Linked DNA regions of Mus musculus: regions 2, 3 and 4 are each reported to be linked to region 1. Evidence: microRNA targets listed by miRTarBase, many of them from high-throughput screens and not tested one by one. Region 1 holds a microRNA gene; each other region holds the end of a gene's coding sequence.
The links. Region 1 holds the annotated microRNA mmu-miR-181a-5p (AACAUUCAACGCUGUCGGUGAGU, at 1,722-1,744, opposite strand). A microRNA usually pairs through its seed, bases 2 to 8, with sites in the 3' UTR of a target mRNA and lowers its output. Matches are read on the target gene's strand: a 7mer-m8 pairs with bases 2 to 8, a 7mer-A1 pairs with bases 2 to 7 and ends in A, and an 8mer does both.

Region 2: miRTarBase lists Sfmbt1 as a target of mmu-miR-181a-5p. Seed matches in the 3' UTR shown: 8mer at 3,930-3,937, 8mer at 3,192-3,199, 7mer-A1 at 2,346-2,352 and 7mer-A1 at 624-630.
Region 3: miRTarBase lists Pisd as a target of mmu-miR-181a-5p. Seed matches in the 3' UTR shown: 7mer-m8 at 4,109-4,115.
Region 4: the mRNA of Scn4b is a reported target of mmu-miR-181a-5p. Seed matches in the 3' UTR shown: 7mer-A1 at 3,478-3,484.

Annotation. Positions count from the first base shown.
Region 1 is chr2:38,849,414-38,854,484 of GRCm38, reverse strand. Mir181a-2 (microRNA 181a-2) reads right to left here and starts at 1,750; the gene lies at 1,675-1,750. The region is part of intron 3 of Nr6a1 (nuclear receptor subfamily 6, group A, member 1); the gene reads left to right. It overlaps Nr6a1os (a long non-coding RNA gene), which reads right to left. Exons shown (of 7, transcript XR_866167.2): 3 at 2,126-2,270. It overlaps Mir181b-2 (microRNA 181b-2), which reads right to left and starts at 655; the gene lies at 567-655.
Region 2 is chr14:30,817,233-30,822,303 of GRCm38, reverse strand. It overlaps Sfmbt1 (Scm-like with four mbt domains 1), which reads right to left. Exons shown (of 21, transcript NM_001166532.1): 21 at 1-4,596. The coding sequence ends at 4,456. Among named protein-coding and RNA genes, the nearest start is that of Stimate, 5.8 kb to the left of the region's middle.
Region 3 is chr5:32,732,650-32,737,720 of GRCm38, forward strand. Pisd (phosphatidylserine decarboxylase) reads right to left here. Exons shown (of 8, transcript NM_177298.3): 8 at 3,665-4,805. The coding sequence ends at 4,581. Gm52771 (a long non-coding RNA gene) reads right to left here and starts at 972. Exons shown (of 2, transcript XR_003955740.1): 1 at 747-972. It also overlaps the pseudogene Gm2420.
Region 4 is chr9:45,149,640-45,154,710 of GRCm38, forward strand. It overlaps Scn4b (sodium channel, type IV, beta), which reads left to right. Exons shown (of 5, transcript NM_001013390.3): 5 at 772-4,516. The coding sequence ends at 865. Among named protein-coding and RNA genes, the nearest start is that of Scn4b, 14 kb to the left of the region's middle.

The DNA.
Region 1 (5,071 bases):
AGACTATGTCTCAAAAACAATTAACAAATAGCCAAAATAATAGTAAATGTGGTTTGTTAAGCTTAAAGTATATAGCTGAGTGTAAAGGTAAATTGAAGAGCAGTGAGTTCCTTTTGTTGCCATTGAACTTCCCCTGAATTACAGTTTTGCCTCTGTTTTTATACATGTAGATAAGTCTTCAAAGGTATAAAATTTTTCTTTATGTTGTGTGAGTAATACTATTAAATGGATGTTTTTATGTAGTTTTCATAGAAGGAATGTATTTGAGATGAGGATAGATTTAAATTCTTTTCATATACTTTTATTTTAAAATAATTATGTATATTTAAGTATTATTTTTAAATATTATGATGTCAAGGCATATTAATCCTTTTGCCTGTGATAATATAAATTTCCCAAAACTTGGAATATTTGAGAAGAAAATAAAAAATACTAGGAATTATAGAGCTTCTTCCATATTAGAAGCAAAGAAACTAAAGAGACTTTAGATAAAAGATTGAGGTCCCACCTGGAGCAGTACTTCCGTACTCTGGTGACTCTCTGGGAGTACTTTTGTTTCTTTGCGTTTTTTGGCCCGCAGTTTGCATTCATTGATCAGTGAGTTGGTTGACATTCAAACCCACCGACAGCAATGAATGTTGAGTGCAGCCATCAATGTTTCCTTTTGATGAAATTGTCTTGGTCTTTTCTATCTCCTGGCTCTTCTTCCCACTATGGTTCTTTGAAGTCTGTTGTATGTTAGTAACTAGTCATCTGTATGGTTGTGGACTCATAATTATAGATCACCTTGACTGTATAGCAAGAACTTGTTCAAGACAGAAAAGTTGTGAGGAAGAAGGCACTATGTGAGAACCTTGTAAGTAGCTCTGATCACATGGGCTGAGACTTGGATGTTGATGTCTGTAAAGGAGCCCTCAGAGACATTGCTTCATCTTTTGTTTCAAGCTGAGACGTTAAGTGCCCTTTTCAAGGTAAAGCAGTATAGATTATGATTGCAGTTAAGTAAAAATTTTTGTAGTAAACATTTGCTGTGAGCCAGAAACTGTTCAAAGTACCCTCATATATCTTCTCATTAAATTAAAACTCTGAGGTTCTCTCCTCTCCTATTCTACATTTGAGAAAACATACTTGGATACGGAGGCTCAGAGATGACCCAGAATTCCTTAAATTAGCACATGGAGATGGAAATGTATCTGGTTCTCTCATGGAGATGTCAAATCCCTAACCGCAGTAACTGAAACTGGAGGCACAATATGATTTGTATAGACAGTGAGTAACTCTGTGAGTATTTTTGCTGAGTAAATCTCTTGACCCTAAAGCAAAAATTTGAAAGGACGTAGAAGAAATGAGAATAAAAGACTTAACTAGATTTTTTTCCTACAGTAAATAGACATTTTTAATACACCCTATTTCTGACTAGAATGACACATTTCTAGAAGATATTTGAGTGCATTTGGTACTATGATGGCACTTCCCATAAATTGTTAAAATGAAACACTTATTTATCAAGAAATTACAAAAAATAGACAATATAAATACATGGAAGCTTAAAAAAAAAACTTGCTGGTTCCCTTTAGAAAAGAGGCCACAGGACTGTATCTTGTGATGTCTGTCACATGATATATCTGTACAGCCTACTCCTTTGCTTCAGGAAACTTGTTGTCTGTAAGAATCCCAAGGTACAGTCAACGGTCGGTGGTTTTTTTGTTTTTGAATCCCAAACTCACCGACAGCGTTGAATGTTCCATGGAGTCCTCTTAAGGCTGGCTTGGTTGCCCATCTTTGGCCTGCTCTCATATTCTAAGGACCACTGCTGTTGGGTCTCTCACATTCTTCCCAAAATTTCAAGTTAACAGTACTTACACTGTGAAGTTAGTTTGCATAAAGCAGAAATGAGCTGCAGGATTGTGAGACTGCAGTTTACATTGCTGACTAAAAGTGGATATCTGTGGAAATATTTTTCAATGCTATCATTCTGAAAACATCAATATAGCAATTTTGTAGTAATACTTTAATTATTAATGTACAAAAACAAGAAAGACCATAACACATGCTGGGGACTTATGTGTAGTAGGATTTGTATATTTAATTCCAACCGTGTTTTCCTTAAGAAACAGAGACTTACCCGGAGTTCCATAGCCAGAACTTGAACACCAGAGTTCATTGTTCCAGTATTGGTTGGATATGTTGCTTTCTCCTTCCTTTACCAGTCTCAGATTTGAACCTTTACTGCAGAGCTAAATCAAACAAGCAAATTCCTTCTTGTTTGCCTGTAATAGTAGAAAATACATCTAAAGTCATATATTTCAGAGAAAAAGATGAAAAACAAAACTCAGTAGCTGAGAATCATGGGCTGCTAAATTACCACAGAAGTGCTAGTGATGCTCCATGATTTTTTTTCCCCATATAGGAAAAGTAAAAATTCTATGTGTACTAGAGCACAGAGAGTGTATCTGGAGAGATGACTCAGCAGATAAGAACTTGTACTTTTCTAGGCGGGACTTTGATCCCAGCACCTGTCTTAACCACAATCTGTAACTACCAATTCTTGCTGCAGGGATCTGTCAACTCAAGCCTTCACAGGCACTTGAACAAACACACACACACATACATACATACATACATACATACATACATACATACATACATACATTCATTCATACATACATACATACATACATACATACATACATACTTAAAAAATAAAAATCTTTAGAAGAACACAGAGCAACTAAAATGCCAGATGTATCTGATCTTTGTTTTGGGTGGTTATTTTTTATTACTTATTGACTTTCTTTTCCCCCCTCCCTCCCTCTTTTCCTCCTCATTTTTTTCTCCTCTCCTCCCTTCCCATCCCTCCCTCTCTTCCCCTCCCCCTTCCTTCCCCTCCCCTTATCTGGAACTCTCTTTATGTAGAGCAGGCTGCTTCAGACTCAGAGATCTGCCTGCCTTCCTCTGAGTGCTAAGATTAAAGGTTGTATCATCATGCCTGGCTATTTATTGAATATTTTTTATGAAAAGTCTTGAAAACTAATTAAACATTTTTCAGAATATTGGCTTTATTTTAAGCAACATAGAAGCTTTGTAGAGCTGCTGGCTGAATTGAGGTTAATATCTATCTAATCTAGGATACTTTGTGTTTAAATATTTTCTTAAATGTATTTATTAAATTTATTATTTTTATGTGTATGGGTGTTTGCTTAAGTATATGGCTGATAATCTCAAAGGCCAGAGGAATGTGTCAGATTCCCTGGAACTAGAGTTAGATGGTTATAAGCCCACATATGGGTGCTGGGAATCAAACTTGAGTCTTCTGGAAAAGCAGCCAGTACTCTTTTTTTTTTTTAAAGATTTATTTATTTATTATATATGAGTACACCTTAGCTGTCTTTAGACACACCAGAAGAGGGCATCAGATCTCATTACAGATGGTTGTGAGCCACTATGTGGTTGCTGGGATTTGAACTCAGGACCTCTGGAAGAGCAGTTAGTGCTCTTAACTGCTGAGCCATCTCTCCAGCCCCCAGTACTCTTTAACCAATGAGCCATCATTTCTCCAGCCGCTTTGGGTTTAAATACTGATGGTTGACCTAGCTGAAGATTCTTTTTTGTGTTTGTTTGTTTGTTTTCGAGACAGGGTTTCTCTGTATAGCCCTGGCTGTCCTGTAACTTACTCTGTAGACCAGGCTGGCCTCGAACTCAGAACTCAGAGATTCACCTGCCTCTGCCTCCCAAGTGCTGGGATTAAAGGTGTGTGCCACAATGCCCAGTGATGAAGATTCATTTTTAAAGTAGCCAAATGGCACTTCTTGAGAGGGAAAAAAAAAAAAAAATCAGCGAGAATTTGGTTCAAATGGAATTGTTTACATTCTGCATCACTTTATTTCATTCTCCATCAAAATTCTTCTCTTTTTTTTTTAATATTTATTTATTTATTATATGTAAGTACACTGTAGCTGTTCTCAGACACTCCAGAAGAGGGAGTCAGATCTCGTTATGGATGGTTGTGAGCCACCATGTGGTTGCTGGGATTTGAACTCCTGACCTTCGGAAGAGCAGTCGGGTGCTCTTACCCACTGAGCCATCTCACCAGCCCCAAAATTCTTCTCTTGTAATCTTTGCTGAGTTCGGTTGTTGTGAAATGGAAGCCCAAAGAAATGAAAATATAGGGGCTAGAGAGATGGCTCAGTGGTTAAGAGCACTGACTGCTCTTCCAAAGGTCCTGAGTTCAATTCCCAGCAACCACATGGTGGCTCACAACCACCTGTAATGAGATCTGATGCCCTCTTTTGTGTGTCTGAAGACAGCTACAGTGTACTCATATAAGTAAAATAAATTTTTAAAAAGGAAAGGAAGGAAGGAAAGAAGGAAGGTAGGTAGGAAGGAAGGTATCTTCCTGTGTAGTAGTTTAAAACCTCTGGCTTAGGTTTATTTTAAATGGTCTTTGCCTTTGTCTCCTAAGAGATGTCAAGCTTTATATTACTTAGAACAGATAATCAGAAACAGTGATATCTGCTGCACCAAATTAAAATATAAAACCTGTTCTTCAGTGTACAGCATTCCAAGAATCCTGTTCTTGATATGGAGATACTTCCTGTTGTATTTGAGATACTTTTCATCCCCCCCTCCCCCCCCCCAGATAGGGTTTCTCTGGGTAGTCTTGGATGTCCTGAAACTCAACCTATAGACCTGATTGACCTGGACTTTAGAGATTTACCTGCCTCTGCCTTTGGAGTGATTGAATTAAAGAAAGGATATGCCACCACAACTGGCTACTTTTTATCTTTTCAAGATCTTTATTATCCTTATTCCTTCAATTTCCCTTAAGCCTTTAATTTTAGTTTCATCATTCACAAAGTATACATTGGTTATTTTCCCTTTATTGTTATTGTTAATTTTTTTTTAAAGTGTGTGAGCTTGCGTGCACACACTACACATGAACAGGTACCTGTGGAGTCCAAAAGAAGAAAAAAAATGGTATTGCATACCTAGGAGCTATAGTTACAAGTGGTTGTGAGCCTCCTGCCTGTTGCTGGGAACCAAACTCCCAACCTCTGGGAGGTACATGTAG
Region 2 (5,071 bases), not on the chromosome of region 1:
ACTAGAGACTGTCTGCTTCTTCTCAGCCTCTGCTAATAATTGTGACTTGAGCTAGACATAGACAGAATGAGCCATCTAGGAACCCTTCTGCCTGAGTTTCCACTTGAGAGCAGTTCCCCTCTCACACAAGTTCCCTCCCTCCCTTTCTTCCTTCCTTGCTTCCCTGTGGCTCCACTCTGCACTTTACTGCTGGTAGTGACAACCGTCTGGTCAATCTGTTGCTTGTCTTTTTTTCACAACACTTCACCATGGTAGGTACCTACCACACCAGACTTGTCAGAAAAAAGCATTATGAGAGTTTTAGACCTGCTTTTTTTTAATCCCCCAACCTCCCCTACAAACCTTCATCCCGGTTTTGCTGGTTCTTAGAAAGTTTTGATTTCTTAAACACAGCGGCAAGAAAATCAGCATGTGCTGCATTGACACCCACTACCTGTGTGCCTAAGGCCGTTCCCAGAGCAAAGTCACCCATGTGGCTGAAGACAAGCAGTAAGGAAAACAACCCCAAAAGAGTGCACCTGGAACCAGATCCATTTGGACTGGACTTTGAGTTTAGAGTTCTTACAACAAAACTCCAGGTCAATAGGTAGCTTATTAGAATAAATTCAAATTCCCCAAGTACATACATTCTCATACAAAGCAATCATCGAAGTTCATGAGTAAAACATTTAAAGTAAATAAAACCAATAGCAGGAAAGTGACTATTATTTCTTGTTTGTACAGGAGGCTCTGTCCTTACAGAGTTTCTGAGCCAGCATCATGGTCATAAGACACAGAACTTACAAAGATCCCAGGACCAAAGACATCCAAATTTATAAAGGGAGCATCTTGTCTGCCCAAGTTCTCTACTTCACTTCATAAGAACACTTGGGAACTCGGGTGGTTTTCCACACACATGGAATATGCCCAGTATGTAAGGCAAGTTCACACTCTGTTATTTCCAGTCTAACGACTCTCCCAGCACTGTTGGCAATCACTCAAACTGGACAAGCTCTGGTGAGAGGTGCCAACTAAGAGTAAGTCCCAGTGACAGTTTTCATGATTTTACAAGTTGTTATACTGCTATTACCTTTCATTTAGACTCCCCCCTCCCCCGATGTTCTGTGTCCCTTGGAAACAATGTTGGGCTGAGAGGAGTGGGATGTTTTCATCCTATTTGCCTTATTCAGGCATCACATCAGTAACTAAAGTGGTTCTAAAGAGCATGTGAAATGTATTCAAGTCTTCAGGAAACTTTGGTCTAATGCCCTTTCCCTCAGTGAAAATACTTTTATTTCTCAAAGAGACATACAAAGGTCAAACTCTAAACTGGTTTTCTATGTCTGCCTCTTTTAAATACAATAATAAACATTTACCAAGATCTTCATTTCCAGAGCTTGGCCAGTACCCTTCCTATACCTGTATTATAAAAACAGGGAGCTGTATAAATTGTTAAAGAAAGGCTAAAGGTGTAATTAAAAGGCTCTATTAATGTATTCCCTGTATTTGAAAAGGATGAAGATGTTTCACAATGGAAATCAGCAGATATGATCAAAATTTCAGAGCCAATCTGTACATAAAGTTGAAGGTTTCCCTAGAAGACCAATATAGCTGTAAAGTCTAGTTTTGGTCAGTTAAGTTTCCAAGTCTGGGAGGACAGTATAGTCCATTCATGTATTTCTAAGTTTGTCAACTCAAGTTAAAGATGGATCATAAAAAATTTGATTGCAGGCAAGCTATGAGGACAGCTGCAGGTGAACTCCACACACTCTCCTCACAGCATACCTTTAAAAAGCTTGAGGCTGGCTGTCTCAGAAACAGACTTCACATACAAATGAGCAACATAAGCCACTTACCCCAACAATGCAAGCTATTATCGAACTTAAACCATCCCAGCATCGGAACTGCTACCCAGCCTAACCCCTGCCTCTTTGATACATGAAATAAAAACAGTTTTTAAAAAGGGCAGGGTCTCATATAACCCAGGCCGGCCTAGAATTCACTGTGAGCCTCGTTTCCACTTCCCAAGCACTGGGATCAAAGGTATATATATCACCACACCCAGTCTGGGATTACAATTTTATACTTTAAAAAAGTCCTCTGCAAAATTCTCATAGAATTATCCTCTTACTGTGAGAAGGGATGGGGAAGATAATTCTTTGATGTGACTGCCAAGTACACTGCATCCCAATAAGAGTGCCAAGAAATATTTAGGGAAGCCCCCTCTTGTCTAACTCACGGCTGGTCTTCCTATAGGAGAAAGCAGAGACTGAAGAGTTATGGCTGCCCCCCCCCCCAGCCCCTCTTGGGCGGGGCGGTCATGTGCTTCCCCTTTCAGGCACGATCCCTGCCAACTCTGACAGTTCTACATTCTGTCATCTGAGTCAAGAAGAAAGTAAGTTACAGCCACTGCTGTCACCTTTCATTTTACTAAGGTAACAATGTAAGATCCTACAGGCATAGGTTTTATGTCCTCACAAGACTCCCTTTGTATCGGTGACTCAACTCCTGCAGTCTCAGGAGATTCTATGAAGAGAGCCACGGCTTGTCAGTCTGCCAATACCGTTTCCTAGTATCACGCCTGCTTCTCTTCATGGCATGAAAGAATCACATGTTTAGAAGATGGATCTCTAAGTAAGCTCAAATAAATGAACCATTACGTAAATGGAGCTTCCTCCCAGATACTCCTGTTGGTCCCTACATGAAGAGCTACTGCTTTCAGACTTCGTTAGATGGTTATCCAATGAAGAAGAGAATTCAGACTACAGACTTTCCCAGTGTCCATAAAAACAGGTGGGGGTTGAGTTGAGAAAAGAAAAAAAAATTCACAATTTAAATTTGTAATAATATTACCTTATATTTGTATACTTGTTCAGAAGTTACTCAGTTTGCAGTTTTAAAACATTTTCAATTCTTGAGGAAAAATGCTTAGGGTATAAATCTGTAGGAATTAGGGTAATCAAAAATAAATAAATAAATAAATAATCAACAAGGAAAACAGCAAAAGAGGCAACTGTGTACACACATCTTTCCTTACTCACAGCTGTGGCAGAGCAAGTGCTGTTCTTCTATAGTAGCTAACAATGCCATTGAAAGTGAAAATTCACCTGGAACTTCATGTCAACTTGAGTTTAATTTAAAAAAAAAAAAAGAAAGAAAAAGAAAAAACTTCAAAAGAATGAGCTACTGAGTGGGAATCTTCAGACTGTAATTACATTCAATTTAAGTTGGTTTAACTGAAGACAGGCATAAATGCGGCTAGACAGAGATATCCAGACTCCTTAACCACCTCTCCCATCCAAGTACCAACCAGGCCCTGCTTAGCTTTCCAGAAGGATAAGATCTGGGACATTTGGGGTAGCTTGTCATAGACTCAACTACCTCTCAGTACTCATAACCGAGGACACTATTAAGGAACTTCATACTTTGTGCCATCCCCAAAGATACATTTCTGTGCTATGTGTCTACCTGGACATACCTAGAAAACCAGAAAAATGGGCTTGACAGTGGGTCCAAAGAACACGTACTGATTTTTCACTGAGAGCAGAAACTCCAGAAATAAAACAGAGGTAGTTAAACAACTCTAACAGAAGAATAAACATAAAATAAAGCCACTTAAATACTTTTCAGAACTAACAGGGAGAGAGTAATTACCCATTGGTCTTTGTAAAGCCACTTAACAATGGTGACCAAAACCGGGTCATGATGGAGGACACAACAGTAGAATTCTTAGGACAAATTGGTTAAGGGACTGATGGTGTAAGTGCCGGCATGATATCTTTAAGAAAGCAGGCAGTGCCTTCTCTAATTTCTGTCATAGTTTTAGCATTCAGCTTAAAAATGGCATCATACAAAAAAATGTCACTCATGGCTGTAAGCGCAGTCATCAACAGAGGTAGTAAACCAAGGAACTCCTAAGAATAGATTTAAAATGGATCAAAGTGTGACTATACATTCAAAACCCTAGAGCCACTTAATTATCCCCAAATGAACTGCTTTAATTTAAAAAAGCTTAAAAACACAACAATGAAGCACTGATGTGCCTTAGGCACAGTCCCAACCAGTGCTGACTTAAAGCTATGTCCTCTCTTTTCAAGAAAGAGAAAGCAGAGAACAGAGTCCAATCTACAGAGGGAAGGAACAGAATGAAAATAACCAAATTGGTGCTGTCCAGCTGTCACCATCATTCTTTGTTTTCAGGTCCCATTAATGGTAATTCAGACTTTTACGGTTTTCTCACAACTTTTTTTAAACTGGAATCTTCTAAACAAAAGTCCATATTTCCACTGTAAGAGAGCCATTTTTGTGCTGTTTTTGCTTTCTCAGTGTGGGTCCTCCTTCCCTGAAAGTGCAAAGATAGCAAGCCACCACTTGCAGGCCGACAGGACAGCCCAGGACTCCTGCAGTCACCTGCAGAGCAGGGCGAAGGGTTTGCTGCACTGTGCTTCAAAGACCCAGCTCAGTCGCTCGTCCTTCTCAGTTGGCAAACTGCTCATAAAAAGCAAACTTGATTCTCTCTATGTGATGGCAAAGCTTGATGGCGGGGCCCAACTTTAAGTCCATGCACTCTTGAACAGTGGGAAGGGTAAGGAGCAAAAGGGCCTGCCCGTCGATTTCCTGTTAAGAATAAAGAACAAAGGCTGTGATATGCACACAATCAGACTCTCCTAGCATCAACCCTTACAACTACAGTTCTGGGACCCCCCTATTACCTTTCCCTTTGAAAAGAACCATAGTCTGCTACCCTGAAAAGCCTTCAGAATTAGTAATAAATTTACCAACCTTGATACTCTCAGCTACAGATTCTGCTCAGCAGAAAGGCAGTACCTAAGGAACCCTATAACTAATAACTAATTATGAAAAGAAAATACTTTTAAAGCACTCTATCTAAATCCAAAACTATCTGAAAATACTAACTATAAACCTTAATGTTCGCCTACCTTGTACAATTTATAAAAGAATTCAAAGATGATAGGGCTGTTTTACTTTTGAGACGTGGTCTTACTATGTAGCTTGGACTGGCTTCAAAATCACTATGTAGCCCAGGCTAGTCTCCGACTTGTGAGCCTCTATCCCAACTATCCAGGTATGG
Region 3 (5,071 bases), not on the chromosome of region 1:
GAGGAGCCCAGAAGATCGTAAGTTGGATCCCAGACATTGGACGGTTGGAGATTGACTTTTGCTTTTGATTGTGACTGTGCCCTGATATTTTCCCTCTTGAAGGAAGAAACTATTTTAGTAGAGCCCACAGTTAAGAGACTTTTAATTGTAAAAAGACTTTGGATTTTAAATGATATGGATATTTTAAAGAGATTGAAATTTTAAGAATATGTAAAGACTGTGGGATGTTTAAAGTTATTTAGACCTTGGGGATGAATAAGAATGTAAGGGTTGAGGCTTACTAGTGATGTGTTTGTGTGTCAAGTTGACAAGGGGTCAATTGTACTGGCTAGTTTTGTGTCAACTTGACACAGCTGGAGTTACCACAGAGAAAGGAGCTTCAGTTGAGGAAATGCCTCCATGAGATCCAACTGTAAGGCATTTTCTCAATTAGTGATCAAGGGGGAAAGGCCCCTTGTGGGTGGGACCATCTCTGGGCTGGTAATCTTGGGTTCTATAAGAGAGCAGGCTGAGCAAGCCAGGGGAGGCAAGCCAGTAAAGAACATTCCTCCATGGCCTCTGCATCAGCTCCTGCTCCCTGACCTGTTTGAGTTCCAGTCCTGACTTCCTTTGGTGATGAACAGCAGCATGGAAGTGTAAGCCGAATAAACCCTTTCCTCCCCAACTTGTTTCTTGGTCATGATGTTTGTGCAGGAATAGAAACCCTGACTAAGACAGAGGGTCTTCTGATAGGAAAGAACACATACCGTCAGCTTGCTGTGAAGGTCAAAAGAAACAGGTGCAGCTCCAGCACCCAGGAATCAGTCAGGAAGGCTGTAAGGGTCATGTTGAGTTGTCTAGGCTCAGACCTACCCTGTGCACATGCTGGCCTTCAGTCTCCCTGTAAAATGCCAAGGACTGAACCTTCGCGAGATCTTAGGTCCCCCCACAGACCTTGTCAGTCCAAGGAACAGACTATTTCTCTCCAGCAATGCAGCCCGCTCATCACGGAAACAGCCCCGACGTCCATCCTTCCTGCTTGAGCGTTTGGGGAGCCAGGTCCCCAGAGTGGTACACCCTTGGGAACAGCAGTAAGTTGAATGGTTGTGAGTCCAAAGGCACTGAAAACTCTGTGTTCCTATATTTTATTGGATGTCTGGTCCCTTTAATTCAGGGGAAGGTTCCATGGTGTGAGCAGCTTCTGCTTCTGCTTGGGTTAGAGAAGCCCCCGGAGGAGGAAAGCACGGCCCCGCTGGGAGGCCCTTCCCTGAAAAGACCCTTCCTACCTGGGGTCCTGCCGAATGTTCCTGATCCGAAGCTGCCTCCTATGGCAGGCCTGGAGCTGCTGCCTCCCTCCTCCATCATGCCCCGTGCGGCAGGAGGCACTGCCAGGGTGAGTTCTCGACTGCGCTGTCACTCACTCTCCTTTGGTGCTCATTCTCCAACCCTTACTACTCTTATTTCTAGAATACCTTGGTCACTTGACAAGCTTGGGTGCCCTGCACACCAGGCCTAAAACACAGCAGTGGCTAGTCTTCTAACACCCCAGCCCTTGAGCAATGACTGATGTCTGGACAACCAGAAGAATCTTATAGGTGGGCTCCCAGCAGGGCCTCTGGTCTTGGGGGACAGGAAGAAATTGAGGGGCTGTTGTAGGGCACCACATCTGGCCTGGACTCAGAGCACTAAGTGCTAGGGCAGCCATGAGCCGTGGTATGATCAGACAGACATGCTAGTGCTCTGGCTGTAGCCTCTCACTGGTGTGTGTGTGACAGTCTGTTGGGGACTGTCTTTGGTGGGACTTGCTATGCTAGGTATGGTGAGGACGGAAGAGGAATCCAGGGTCACTAAGAAAGAATTCTTTTACTAAAAGATGGAATCTGGGGTAGGGTCCAGTGTCTGGTGAGGCAGTCGGTCCCCATTCAATCAGCCTTCAAGGCTATGAGTATCTATACTGCAGGGCAAAGTCACCTGGAAAAGCATAGGGGACATGGGGTCCTGGGCAAAGGTAGCCAGGGGGGTACTCTTGAAAACAGCCAGTCGGCAGTTCCTAAAAGTTAGTGCCGACTGGGGAGGGGTGGAGACAGGAAGGAGGCAGTTTCTGGTGAAGAGTGGCTGATGACGTGACATATACCCAATCTCAGCACTTAGGCAGTAGAGGCAGGAGGATGGAGAGTTCAAAATGAGTCTAGGCTTCATAGCAAGACTCTGTCTCAGTAAATTAGTATTTAAGTAAGTATTTTTTTAAAAAAATAGTGGCATGCAGAAGAGAAGCCTTGGGGGTGCAGGAGTGGTGGGATAGGAGTGCCACCCTGGAACAGTCTTCCCTGAGGCTCAACAGGCAGGGCAGTCACCCTCAGCACTGCAAGGCCCAGTGGGCAATGAATCAGGACAGGACTCACTTCCCAGGGTCCCTACTAGCTTTCTTGTTCAGCATCCACCCTTTGCTCCTCTACAGGTGTCAGTGAAGCCCAGCATCCCTGGGCCTCAGCCTTGGGGGTGCCCGTCCTTACCCAGGGACCTTGATCCCCATCTCCTCCCCAGGGATTCCATAAGCACCTGGCTGGGCCTGTTTATGGCTCCGAGGCTACAGGTAAGTAAGTCAGGGTGCTGGGGCCACCCTCTACCAAAGCCCTACCAGTCTCCTGGGTCCTAAAGGGATGGTGGGCAAGGTCAGACTTACCTTCCTGTTGCTGCAGGCCACACAGAGCTTGAGGCTGAATTGGAGGGGATCCAGCAGCAGTTACAGCACTACCAAACCACCAAGCAGGACCTTTGGTGAGGCCCGCCAGGTGCCCTGAGACCTGTCTATGGGAATAGCTGTGGCTTGGAAAGGCAGTTAGTTCCATTTCCTGCAGCAGGGCCTGGGACTCCTCTGTGTGGTCTAACTCCAGGGGGTCGGGTGAGTGTCCTCTGGCACCTTTATCTACTCCGGGAAGGGTCAAGTTGGCCTTACCTAGGGCTGGAAGTCCTGTTTTCTATTTGGAGGTTATGGAACGCCAAGCAAGGCTTGCCTGGGTTCTGTTACCTACCTGACAACTGTAACTGTAATGCTAACAAGGGACAAACAGCGTGGGCCTGGGTCCTACTTATACCCAGTGTTCTGGGGACAGTTGACATACAGCAGTTTTCAGAGACCTCAGTGAAAAAGACTGATCCCTCTAGAAAGGGACAGGAAGAGAAGTTTTCACACGGCTCACATGAGTTGCTGTTTGCTGGGAAAGACAGAAGATTGTTGGCCATTCTCTCAAAGCACTTTATTAGCCAATATACCTCTTCAAAGGGCTCGCTTGAGGCTGTGCCAAGGACCCAGCCTGATAGGTGTCCCCATCTCCAAGTCATGCCAGCAACAAGCCAACAGCCTGCGTAGGTGGCTGGAGCTAAGCCAGGAGGTGCCGAGATCTAAGGACCTTCATCTAGAAGAGCAGGTGAAAACCGAACTGGAGGAGGTAAGCCCCTGGCTGTCCTTCCTTTCAGCTTGCCTTGTCCCTCCCTCTCTCCCATGTCCCCAGGTGGAACTGCAGATCCAGCAGCTGGCTAAGGAGCTCGAGGCCCAGTGTCAGCCTGAGACGGGCTCTGTGCTAGTGGGCCCATCCCTGGGGGACAGGTGCTATCCTTCACCAGGCCTTGGACACACTGCCCCACCCTCAACAACAAAATACAAAGCTACGGTAGTTTTTGTTTTGTTTTTTTAATTTCAAAATGTCTTGCAATGAAATGAATTACTGTTCAGAAGTCTCCTACTTTTCATACAAAATACGGTACTACTGATACAGTTGAAAAAGTTAAGTGATTTCTCCTGCAGGAGAAATTCATGGCATTCCCAAGATCGACATGAACTCTGGTCTTGTCCCTACCACTGGGTTCCCCATGGCCTGCATACCTGTTTTCTAGGTACTGACCTCTATACCCTCTGCCTCCAACACAGTCCCTAGACCAATAGCAGCATGTCCCCTAGTTCTGCAGGGCAGGGCCTCCACCTGCCCTTTCACTCCAGACTCTACCAGACAAGCCAGTAATTAATTGGTTTTGCCTACCAGCAAAAGGATTCAGCCAGCTTCTTAGAGCCTACAAAGGTCTACATCATTAGTCATTGTCCTCAGAAGACACTGGCAGAGCCCAGGATAACACATTCAGCATTATATAAATGATTTTACTTTTCCAGAAAGCAGACGGGTGAAATTGGGGAGCAGAAAGCAGTTATGAAGGCCATGTGGCCTGCTCTAGGAAGACAGTGGATCCACAGTCTGTGCCCAGCAGGCACCTCACCCTGTGCACATTGAGAGAGCCCTGTGACGGGAGGGGTCACAGCTAGAGGGTGTGGTAGTACACAGCCAGGAGTTAGGGGTGGGAGGCTCTGGCTTGTACAAAAATTTAAAACACCCCTGAAAGTGACTTTGGGGTCAAATCACACCCACCCATACTCTGAAAAGGGGTCTAGGTCCTGTCCTGAGAGACCCAGAACCTCTCCTCTGCACCCATGGACAGGCAATCTTATAAGGTCAGCCCCGCAGTGCCCCTCACCCAGACAGCCTGAGGCTCCGCTGAAGACCCTCATGCTCCTGTGTGGAAAGATCCTTTGGCAGCCACAACCGAGAGGACTAGAGGGAGCCCAGTGCTTCCCCAAAGCGGATCTTCTGCCCTGCCTTCAGCCTGAAGTTGAAGTCCTTGGGTGCCTCGAAGATGAGCACGATGGTGGAGCCCAGGTTGAACTCCCCCAGGGGCTCACCCTTGCGCATGGGAATGCCCTCCTTGTTGGCATGTGTTACAAAGCTCAGGTCATTGTAGGAGCCCTTGCTGTACCTGGGGCTGTTTGTGTGCAGGTCCTAGGAGCAAGAAGGATAAAGCTAATTAGCCTGTTGCCTGTTCTCAACCCTGCCCAGCCCAGGTGGCAGAGACAAGTCTCTCAGGGCAAAGGCCTAACTAATCAACACTCCCAGTATCAGCTGTGACTTTGACAAGGCGGGGCAGGGGTCAGACATAAATGCTGAAAGGTTAGCGCCAGCAGCAACCATTAACACCTAAAAAGGCAGAGTGGGTACCAGATTTTCTCACCCAAGCCAACTCTACCCTCCTGCAGGCTCCATCCTTG
Region 4 (5,071 bases), not on the chromosome of region 1:
TCCCATTAACCTCTCTCTTCCCATTTGTACCACCTGCCTTAAAACCTACCATCAGATTCGGGAAGCCTCTATATTTTCATTTCTATCATAGAAAATGTGAGTTCACGAAAGAGACTCTAGAATGGAGGGACTCTTTTAGGGAGAGGAGAAGTTCTGATAATTCAGTTGGGGGAGGCAGAAACAATGTCTGGCAGTCAAGCATGGCAGCTCGTGCCTGCCATCCCAGTGGTTGAGAGTCACACTTAGAAGATCCCCTTGAGTTCAAGACCAGCCTTGTCTACACTATGAGGCCCTGTTTTCATAAGCCAAACCTAAATGAAACTAAACTAAAACCCCAAAGGGTGACATGACCTCCTAGAACGTCCTAAGATAAGTTCAGTTATGGCAATAGGCATCTAGGGTCAGGGATGCTGCTAACTGATACAGGGCTTGCCTAGCATGTGTGAGGTCTTGGATTCAGTCTATTTCCTCACTAGAAGGAGGAGAAGGATGGGCAGGTAGAGAGGGTATGAGCCTGGCCCAGAATTTTCTGGAACAGCATCAGGCTGTCTTTAAAGCAGCAGGTGCGGAATCTTGGAAGGGCCAGAGCAAGAAAAAGGGACCAGAAAGGGGAAGGACACTAGAGAGCTGTGTTCTCAGCAAGACAGGTGACAAGGTAGGCTATCTCTGGAACAGAACAGAAAAGGCCAGGGAGAGGGTGCAGGATTGGCACAGGGAGCTATGCACCCACTCCTTCATCTCTTGTTCCTCTCAACTCTCTCCCCCCTCCAGGAAGGAGTGTCTCGTGAGTTCCTCTGGGAATGACAACACAGAGAACGGGTTGCCTGGCTCCAAGGCAGAAGAGAAGCCACCCACAAAAGTGTGAGGCCCTGCTCGGGCCAAGCAGGGCAGGGAGCCTCGCTTTCTGATGGTGATCCTGATGCCAAGTCCTATCTGAGATGTGTGCTGCTTGGCCCAAACTGTTCTTTCTGAGCAGGAAGGACCTGGCCCTGCCCAGCTGCCGTTCTCTCCCCAGCCAGGGCTTCCTAGGGACAAGGGTTGGTTGACTGGGGGAGGAAGCCTACAGGAGATTGAAGACAGGGAAGGGAGGGGCTGGAGTGGTGTGGAAGGTTGGTTCCCGGATCCTGGGCACGTGGGGTCTCCTTTAGATTTTCCCCTCTGTGAAGCCTTGTTTTCTCCTCAGTTTTCCTTCTGATCTTTCACCAGGAAATCGGGGTGACCAGTGAGGGCTGCTTCCAAAGCTGGGGTCTGGAGATGGGTAGAGGGTGACCGCTTCAGAAGCTGGGAATGCACAAGAAGTCTAGAATGGTGTCTTCTGGGGGGGGGGGGGGCAGTTGTGAGAGGCAAGCTGGGCTCTGAAGAATATCAGGCTTCTGGAAGTTCCTTTAGAGAGGACTTCTCTTTCCCTTACCCTAGAACACCTGCCCACACTGTCCTGGCTCCCCGACCAGCCTCCTCCTGCTGCCTGCCTAGTCTGTCTTTGCTCTCTGGGCTGCAGCTGCTGAGGAGGCTTGTGGGGAGGGGGCAGCCTCCACTCTCCTGGAGCACTGGGGTGCTATTTGCAGCTATACTGGCTTTGCTCTTTGGGTTTCAGAGGCAGGAGAACAGTGCCCCTGGTCTCCTAGCCTTTGGAATGTCTACCCCAGCCCTACAAGACTGACAGCCCTTGTCCTTGGCATGGCAGGACCATGCCACCCTGGCACTTCCGGAGCTCAGTTTTTCACTCTTCTTCCCTTCCCTTGAAACAGCTGGCATTGCCACCTTCCCTGAGGGATGCTTTCCTAGGACTTGTCATCCCATACCTTTGCTCCTTCTGTGTCCATCCAGCATGCCTGGCCTTCCCCTGCTCCTGGCCCCCCAGCTCTGGGTCTGCCTTTGCCTCAGGGACCCTTGTTTCCAGATGAGAAGGCCCTTGGCTTTTCCAGCTTCTTTTTTGCCCAGCTGGGCTGACTCCTCACCTAGCCTGAGGCTGAGGAGGAGCTGGGAGAAGGTACTCACACCTTCTCTTGACTTCTGGCAGAGCCGGCTTGCACACCCCCTGAGTGTGGGGCTAGATTGTGCCTTAGTTCCTCGAGTCCTGGTTCTGAGCCCCTTTTCTTTCGGCTCACACTCCCTGAATTAATTGCACAGCTTGGTGTGACTTTGGCGGGGCTCCCCAGCTCCTTACCCCAAAGCCATGGAAGAGACCATGAAGCCGGGGTTGGTGGCAGCCTTGATGACACCTGAGGGCACCCTTTCTTGTCCCTGACATGGAGATAGGATGGCATTTGATGTGGGACCTTCAGATGGGTTTGACCGTGTACAAACCGTAGTGCTAGCTAGGGTTTCTGTGATGTATGAAATGGGATACCCAAAGTCCCTCTTCCTCATCAGATTTCTGATACCCTTAATGTCAGAAGATGGAGATTAGTCCTCTTTTCAGGGGGGTGTAAGGACTGCTACAGGCTCTGCCCAGGAGTAGCTGAAGGTTCCCCCCCCCAAATGGAAGTTGGGGGAGACTAAGGCACAGTAGGATCTGTAGGTGACTGTGGCTTTGGCTAGTGTCTGTTGCCCAAGCCAAGGGGCTCTTGGGGTTGCCTCCACTCTTCCCATTCTTCTTTACCCAGAACTCATTGTGAGCTGGGTAAAAATTGCCCGTCTCCTGCTTTTTAAATATTTATTTGAGCAGAGTCTCATGTGTGGCCCAGGCGGGCCTCCACCTCTCTATGTAGCCAAGACTGGCCTTGAACTCCCAATCTCCTGCCTCCATTGCCACAGTGCTGGTATGACAGGTGTGAGCCCACACCCTGCTTAGAGTAACCTGGCTCTGAGAACCAACATGGCACCCGAGCCTCCAGCCATTCAGGAAACTTCCAGCTGCCTTCATGTAAAACTGCTTTCTCCCCCAACACTGGAAGAGGCCAAGTGTTGGGGGTTCTTCTTGCTTTCCTGAGAGGAAGCCAAGGCATAGAGCAGAAGAGAGGGAGGGACTCTCCCTTCCCAGCTTCCTGCTCACTGTCAGCTTATAGGCAGCCCTTGCAGCTTCTCCCATCTACCCAAAGGGTGAAATAATACCTACCTCACAGGACTGCAGTGAGGCTTGGTGAGATTTTTGTGTTTTTTGTTTTTTTGGCCTGGCTTGGAAAGGCACTGGGAAACAAGGCTAATAACCAGCGAGAATGTTCCACATCTATCCTGTCCTCATCTCTGGTTTGCATCCCAATAATATGCATATGCCTCATTCTTCTTCCTTTAGCAACCTTAGGCATCATGACTCAGATGCTTAAAGCATCTTTGTCCCCAGTTCTTTTTTTTTTTTGATGGAGGTACCTGGGACTATGGGAGTACTTTTTTATATTGTTGTTGCCCCAATGCCTGTGATAAATACTAGCGTTTAATGGATAGGGATTAAGAGCACAAATCTCAGTCCTCTTAACAAAGAATGTCTGGCCTAGTGCTAGCGGCATGCCTGTGCAGGCATTACCACGGATTGTGTTAGAATGTATATTTGCAAAGCCATTTTCTCTAGCCAGACCCTCTGACAGGCAAGTCTTCAAATAGCGATCTCAGGGTTGCTGAGGTTGGTCCCGGTGCCAGTGGGCTACAGCACCTCTCATACGGTTGACTTTGGGGAAACCTGGACCCATGCAGTTGTGTTGACCTTGATGTCAGTGAGACCAAAGACAAAGCACAAGTACCTTACTCTTGACTTCCAAATAAACTTCTGCCCTTGAGGGCTCAGATCCCTTGGTGTAGAAACTAAGCAGAGGGCAACTGGAATCAACCTGCAGTGTGGAAGGCCCAGGAGAATGACAGACAGGAGGGCAGCAGAATGTCACGTATCTGACTGACTCGCTTCTGTGGAGCCAGGGAGGCAAGAGCATCCTGCTGGTGGGAGGTGAGGGTGCACTTGTGTGGAGTGCTTGTGGTGTGTGGGAGGTGGAAAGGCGTGCCTAGTCAGTCTGCGGGTGCAGAGGCATGACAGAAGAGGGTGGGCTGTGCACGCGAGGGGTGATGTGGGATGAAGGGGTTGGGGGTGGGGCTCTGCATCTTCAGTAGCCTGAACTGGAGACTGAAGAAGGGTTAAGAGACATAAATGAACGGCTATGCTCCTGGATTCTACTGGGTGACTCCATGTCAGGGTGACAGACGACTGCCACCGGAGGGCTGGGGCAAGGATGCCCAAATGAGGGATTTGTGGGGAAGTCCTCTAGCTTGCTACATTTTATTTTGTCCCAGGTTGGAGTCCCTGCTCTCCCATCTCCCACTGGATGTGCAGTGCTTTTGACTATCTTATGCATGGTTTAGTCCTCTGGCTTGGATAACAGTACCCATAGTCAATTTTCCTATCTAACTTTATAGGCAATACAGTGGTGGGCCGTGGGAGCCTCCAGGAGGCACCGACCTGCACATGCCCAGCGCTTGCGTCTAAGCACAGATCGAATGCCATTAGGTTGTCTTGCCTCTACAATACATTTTGCATTGCAGACTTGGATTTAGCTTCGCTTTGGATGAAATAAAAATTATTTTTTAATAATTTGGGATGCGGGCTTTTTATTTTGGGTTGCTCGGAAGTTGAACTCCAGCTTCATCACTCCCCTGCCCCCCAGCTGACAAGTTTATGCTGAAAATGTTACCTGCTTAGGAGAGATAGCACATATCAAATGCTGTGGGGTTTTTAGCTTATCCAAGATATGTGTGTTGCTTTAATTCTGGACCTTTGGGAAGGCAGCCCTTATGCTATGTGTGTTGATGACCCTAGATACTCTGGAGCCACTGAAAGCATCCATATGAAGGATACAAATGCTAAACCTGCAGAGCCCGAGGAAGGGGTGTTGCTAACACGTTGATCTTGGAAGCATAAGGACCCAAGTTAGAGCCCCAGAACACTCATCAACAAAAATGGTGTGGTGGACTATTCTAATAATCTCTGCCCTGAGGAGTCAGAGACAGGAGGATTCTCAGGGCTCACTGGCCAGGCAGTTTAGCCCACCTGGCAAGCTCTAGGCCAGTGAGAGACCCTGCCTAGAAAGAAAACCACAAACCAACCAACCAACCAACCAAGAAACCAACCAAACAAACAAACAAAAGC